2 linked regions of the Drosophila melanogaster genome follow. The protein of the gene in region 2 purifies or fractionates together with the protein of the main gene of each other region. This does not show direct contact. Each region holds a gene or a part of one and is shown on either strand. Other genes may lie near its edges.

The links.
Region 1: the proteins of CG17127 (region 2) and CG32264 purify together in Drosophila melanogaster (affinity purification with mass spectrometry, with the first as the bait; one large-scale study listed by BioGRID). This does not show direct contact.

The regions. Positions count from the first base shown.
Region 1 is NT_037436.4:3,786,136-3,790,066, reverse strand, and holds the start of CG32264 (uncharacterized protein), read left to right. Parts: upstream 1-2,106; 5' UTR 2,107-2,510; intron 2,511-3,931.
Region 2 is NT_033779.5:10,768,760-10,771,959, reverse strand, and holds CG17127 (uncharacterized protein), read right to left. Parts: upstream 1,093-3,200; 5' UTR 1,064-1,092; intron 1,030-1,063; exon of another isoform or gene 1,003-1,029; 5' UTR 976-1,002; coding exon 679-975; 3' UTR 590-678; downstream 1-589. Other genes in the region: CG6724 (uncharacterized protein), read left to right, coding at 2,227-2,285, 2,346-3,012, 3,070-3,200.

The sequences.
Region 1 (3,931 bases), on a different chromosome or scaffold from region 2:
TTTGCCCACTCCACAAACATTCAATTTGTCAAGTTGTTAAATTTTAGCAGCTTTTCAGCTGTGCCCCGCCCACTTTCCCAAGAGCGCCCACTTTCTTTGCTCTCGCCCATTGTTGAATGCTGTGCATTTTGCATTTTAAATACAATATAAATTAAGTTGGCAGCTTCTGGCATTGAGAACAGTTTTCGGCAAAGCTGCTGAATGAATGAATGGCAGCCCTTTTATCAAGATTCTCAAGTTAATTTTGCTGAAGGATAAGAAGTTCGGGGAAAATGGGCGGGGAAATCGAGGAAAAACTGACATTGAAGACGAATTGTTCGCTCGGAATGAAGTGGAATTTTATTCCGGTGGGTGGAAAACTTTCCTTGACGATTGAATAAAACGCTGAACTGTTGGGAGAACTCAAAAGCACAATACTATTTTAAAATAGTATTACCAAAGATGTTGGATACCATAAATGAGTTAAGCACAAACTCCATTTGTTTATAAAAATATAATGTGCAAATATGATTTCCAATTTATTTATCCATAAATAATGAAAACATTTAAACATAATATTTGAATCTTATAAATTGTCTCTTTAAATATTAAGTTCGTAAATATATTTGAACGATCATTTACAAAATTAATTTTCTTCGTATAGTTTTGGAGTCACACAAAACATCGGCGAGAAATTTCTCGCATGCGATAAACAGTAAATATTGCACTGCTTGAAGCAGTGCTTCGCAAACTTGCGGCGCCTCTCAAACTGCTATTGTTGTGCTCTCTCCCTGAAAATTTTCTCTCTTTGAATTTTCCATTCTGTTTTTCATTTGCGGACCTGCGCTTTTCATTTGCCGGCATTTCTGGAGCAACAACAAAATTCCAGCGCTGAGTTTTCCCCCTGCCATGCCCCCCTTTTCGTATTTATATATTTAGCTCTCATTAAATATTTTCAACTAGAGCGAAAGATACTTCCGTTTCCTGTTTTATAAAAATAGTACTTGCCATATATAAATATACATATTTACTATGTATATAAATATTTGTAACTATATATGAGGTAAATACTTACTTGACTTAATATAACTAACTAGAAAATAATTCAAACTCCTTATCAAATTCAAAGTAAAATTTGGGAAAATCTACCATTTAGTTCTTCTATATATTATTATATATAAGATTATACTAAAAGTTCACTTTTCCGAGCGCTCACTGTAGGGTGTTTTTGTAGTGGGCCTAAAAATAGGAGACGCCACCACTCGTGAAAATTCTTGAAGAGCAGTTTGGGAAATTCCTTACCGAAAAGTTATATATGGCCGAAAAGAGATTTGCCTTGCGCCATTGTTTAGTGAATTGAATTTTGGTTCAGTGTGTATTTGTTTTTGGAAAAACAAGGTGAAATTGCTTTTGAAGTGCGGTTGCTTCTTGTTTTTCTTTCGCTTCCCTCGAAAAGATTTTCATTTGCCGATTGCCTCATTGGATTTTGAGGTATTAAAGTTTTCGAGAGGGGAATTAGTATCGCATTATTTGGATGTTTCTGGTGCGGAATGCAAATTGATTTTCAATAGTTTTTCGACATTTTCCAGCTCGCCAGAGGAGGCGGCTTTCCACCCAAATTGGCAATTATCATCGGGTGGCGGAATTTGTGGGTGCGAAATGCAAATCAATGGGCAAATCTAATTCAATTTGAGTTCCTATAATCAACTGCTGTGAATGTGAAATGAAAGGCAGACGAAGTTCACTCGTCACTTGATTCAACGTCGTTTATTAATTTGATTTATATGACTTAATGATTAACCAAATATTTATCATATTGAAAAAGATTGACCATTTCGATTAAAAACAAAGATACAACTATATTATCTTTGTAATAATATTTCGATGCTGTTTATATAGCCACGTGTAAATACGATATGTTATCAAGAAATTTATTAATAGATATAAAATCGAGTTTGGCGCCAAATTAAATTTTGAATTTCCAGCCGCTCTCTTCTCGAGTGTGACCGCGCTGCCGACAAATGCCGCGAAACGGTGCAAATTCGGCCTTATCGGCCGCTAAGCAGCTGGCCACACTGCGGCATATAAACAATTTTTTGTCACAATTTTTTTGAGAGCAGACGAACGCACATCGAACGCCAATTGGGGATCGTAAAGTCGGAAAAACAGCGTCGCGCTCGCTTCGAAATAGAAAAAAAACACAATAAACATTAGGTCAAAATCGCATTGGCAATCTTTTAAGTTTCGATTTGATTTAATTTCGCGGTGCAAAGCGAAAGAGAATTTTGAAACGTTTGATTTTTGTTGTTTCGCCGCTCTCTTCGTTGTTGTTCTTTTTGTTGTTTTTTCCGGCGCGTCGTTTGGCGTTTTTAGTGTATGCGTGCGTGTGTGTGCGTAACTACGTGCAGCTGTGTGCGTGCTTCAGTTTGATTTAAATAAATTATTAGTGAAAAGCAGCTGAGAAGAGTAAAGAATACGAAAAAGTGCAAGTAAACGCAATAAAAATATTGCACATTAAATAATCAACAAGTGTAAGTGCAAAGCAAGTGATGTGCAAAATGCAAGAGCAGAGAAAAGAAAATAAAAGCAGAGAAAATGCAGAAAGGAAAATTGTTGTAACTTTTTAACAGCCCAATATCGAATTTAAGTGGCTATTAAAAATCGAAGATCGAGGCAAAGTGCAAAAGGCAACAAAACTACGAAAGCGCCCAAAAGGAAAATCCGGTTTTACAACTTCTCTCTTCACACACTAAACACACACATACAAAACACTCACACTCACACCAGCGAACAATCGAATTCTCTCTGAGAAACTAAAACTAAAATTCCTTTGCTGGGTTTTAATGAATTTTCTATGGGAATTTCACCAGCTAACGAGCAGCTAAAAAAATAATAATCGTAGATAAACAAATAGTGTGAATGAAAAATCAGCTGCGACAGGTGATGCAAAACAAAATACGCAAGGTGCAAAGAAAAAAAATACTTTCATGTGAATTCGATCACAGTGAACGCTCAGTAAAGAAGGAAGCTATTATCTGATCATATCATTATATTATTTAATTTAGAAAACAACTTTTAAAAATTACTTTAGATAATTAACTCATATGCTCATATCATTTGAAGTGCTAGAAAGTTTAAATAAATAGTTATCCATTTTAAAGCTCCACTGTATCTCAAGTATTTAAAAAACCATCCAGAAAAGTGAAATCAATAACAAAAGAATTTGAAAAAAGCGGAAAGAGCGGTCATAAAAATAGTATAAACAGAAAATAACAATAAACCAGTCAAAAAAATAAGCAGTTACCTGTCTCACTCTCTCTTTCCTTAATTCAAACATTTGCGTAAACAATAACCGCTTTACAGTAATTTCGGGCACCTGCTTTTTGTTTACACAAATGCATAAATATGTTGAATATGAATAAATTAATTCATTCAGCGTGTACGGGGCACGCTGCCTCGCTAAATGGAATTTTCACACGAAAAGTGGGAAATATGTGAAGAAAATATAGCGCCAACTTGTGTTATCTTATCCGTAACACAATTTTAATGATGGTGCAATTGAAAAAAATAGCAGAGAAATGTGCTACAATTGCTTCCTTATCAAAAAAGGTATTACCTGCCGGAAAGAGATAGTGGTAGTAGTGATAGGCGGGGAAAGAAAGAGATGGGTGTACGGTGTAGGAAATTACATATTTCATTATTTCCTCGCCCGATTTTTCCGACCAAATATTTTTATCTACTTACAATGTTGTCTAGACAGATTCCTTCGCTTTTCTTCCGTTTTTTTGTTGTGCCACCCATTTGTATATGTATGTACATAGATGTGTATAGGAAAAGTCTGGTAGTGGTGTGTATACTGCGAGATTTCGCACCCTCTCCTAGGATTTTCCTCTGCCGCCGCCTTTACTGCTTTTTGTTGTGCTCCAGACTTCAGTTTACTCCACTTTGCGAC
Region 2 (3,200 bases):
ATAAAATACCCTACGATCATCGGACCCACCCAGATGTTATGCAAGCAGCCCCTCTGTACCTGCGGGCATGCCACGCCCCCTCCACGTACAACTCATTACACATGCAAGTGCATGTGGCGGCAATTACCAGAAATTAAATAAACAAACCGAAGCCCAGCAAAAAGCAACAAAATACAAAATACAAAAAAAAATAAATAAAAGTCCGAGGAAAACAATCACGACGACAACTGTTGCATCACGACCGCAGCACAAAAGTTGCCGGCGGGGCAACCACTCGGGTTACCAGCGACTCCATCGCCATTCCCATCCCCGGGTTACGTAACAAGGTTGAGGATAGGATACCATGCCATGCGATAGCAATGTGCCGACTTTTATTGTTAATTCGTATGCGCAGCGGGATCAGCGAGGAGAAAGTCGGCGAAGATCGTTAGGAAAAAGCCACAAATCAAACCAATAAATCACTCGTTTCGATTCGAGAGTTCGTTTGCAGAGGAACCAACTGGTTTTCGGGGAGGATCACTTTCGCTTTTAATATTTTTTTCGGATTTTTTTTTCCAATTGTTTTGGGTGGTAAATAAACGCTGCGATTAAATACTTGTAATGTTTTCGTTTTATTAGTGAGAAACTTAACAATGAGGACGAAATGCAATGAGCTAACCAAGGAAGTGGTCCTACGACTTAGTTGCGACCGATCTGGTCGACCTGGGACTGCAGGTTGTTTATCACCTCGGAGGGCACCTGGTCGCCGAGGATCTCGAAGAGATTGATGCGCTGGTTGCCGGGTATCTGCTCGTACGCGCCCAGCTCGATGCCCTCCTGCACGTTCTGGATCTGGGCATCCTTGGGGATGAGAAGCGTCTGCTGCGCCTGCCGGATCGCCTCGTTCGTGTAGGCGGCACCCTCGCGATTCTGGGGCAGGGATTGGGCACCAGCCAGGAGCAGGGCGAGCATCGAACACAGCGCGAACACTTTCATTTTGTGGGTTTTCTCGAGGGGATTCAACTGCAAGAGATGCACGGATTCAGTGGCGCTCGATGCGGACTGGATTTGGTTATGGTCTTACCTTGCGCGCGTCGTTTGTTGTAATGTTTCGGCTGCGCAGGCGCAATGCCCGTTTTATAAGCTGAGCTGCGCCGCTGGAAGCCCCGAAAATCTGGAAAGCTTTAACTCTTTCATTTCGCTTCGTTTCTGGTTTTTTGTAAAGCCAAAATGGTGGCACAAAGTAGTAGTACCGAAAAAAAGTGTTATTACTTCCCAGCTTAATATCCCCATCGACCCATTAAGGTGAATACATTTTTTATTGGAAATTTTTTATTTTCTTGGGCATTTGTCCAATTTTGATGCGAAGGTTAAGCGCCACTTCAGAAATGTCAAGTGGCATTTAACCTTCCAGTGAACACTCGGCCGCAAAGTGGTCTTTCAGGTGCTATCTGGTTCATATTAATAGCCTGAACGTAAAATATTAACAATTACCAGTCTTTGAAGATTGAAGAGTCATTTACAAATTGCCGCCGCGGCTGTGCATTTTTTGGTTTCTTATTTTTCCATTTTGCGTAAGACGATCAAAAGGAAGAGAAGCAGTTAGTGGCTAAATTACAGCAAATCATCTGCGCCTGATTTGCTTGCAAAAAATATTTAATTATCAGTATTGCGAATTGGCTCGTATCTCTGTAAGATTTTTTTGTAATAAAAAAAAGGAGAAACGACAAAGCAGTGGTTATGCAATCAGCGGTTTTTCGAATTTGATGAGTAATATTTTAGAGAAACAAAATCAAAGTGATTAGAAATACCATACACTCTATTAATATCTTTTTATTTGTTAAAGTAATCGGCAAATTACACTTAAGCAAGCTATTATAATTATGCATAGTTTTAACGCACCAAAAAATTTGAATTTAAAAACTCCGCTTAGTAGTAACGGGTGATAACAAGACGATAAGGCATTTCGATAAGAGCACAGCGATAGCAATGCGATAACTCTTATTCCGGCATGCGCTTCGGCGTTTTTTAGTGTTTTTGCATGTATTTGTTGCATTTACCATCGTTCGTTTAAAAACACGCTTCTTTTCAATTTAATTTTACACAACGATCTCCCGAAGGAAGAACCTCTAGTTTAGTGGTCAACACCTTGTACCACCTGCAGGAGTTAAGTCATAACCGTAGCAAACACACGCGGGAACACCCCAATCCCAATCCAGCCAAAAAGAAACGCACGTGGGCCAGGAGATGGATGTGGATAACGGCGAGGGGCAGGTGCAGGTGCACCTGAAGACCAAGCAGGAGCAGTGAGTGTCCATCTAGAATCTCTATCAGTAGAAGATTTTAATCAAGATACCCTATTTCAGCTATGCCGTGCCTGATGTGCCCTATGCCATCGATGGCACCGTCACCACCGTGGAGCTAAACACATTCGTGAACGCACTGTTGCGTCAAAAAGATGGCTCTTCCGACACGGACTTCGACTTCCTGGTGTTCGATGAGTACCTGCGTGGCCGGCTGTGCGATCACCTGCGCGAGAAAGCCATCAGTTTCGAGGACGCCATCGAGATCGAGTATGTGGAGCGGTTCCCGGCGCCAGAGCCACAGGATTGCCTGCTGCACGACGACTGGGTGTCCGCGGTGAAGGCTAGAGGAAAGTGGATCCTCTCCGGGTGCTACGACAACACCCTGAATTTGTGGACCAACAAAGGCAAGCACATTCTCACTATTTCTGGTCACACGGCGCCCATCAAGGCGGTGGACTGGATATCGCTGGACGAGGAGACGGGACGTTTTGTGTCCACATCGCAGGATCAGACCGCCATGCTGTGGCAGTGGAACGTGGGCTCCAACTCGGTGGAATGTGTCTCCGTGTGCAAGGGCCACGAGCGAGGCGTCGACAGTGTCAGCGTGAGTCCGGATGGTCTGAGATTTGCCACGGGCTCTTGGGACACGATGTTGAAGGTGTGGTCAGCAGAGCTGGACGATGCAGTCGAGGGCAGCTCAAAGCGGATGAAAGAGAGCGGTGTGAGAGTGAGTAGTCTTGCCATTTATAATTAGACTTGTAATCAGCTTTACAATTCCTTTCAGACCCCCAAAATTACGCTGCAGGGACATCGTGAGAGCGTATCAGCCGTGCAGTGGATGGATGCTACCACTCTGCTAACTGGCAGCTGGGATCACACACTCAAGGTGTGGGATCTGAGTCTTGAGGGCATCAA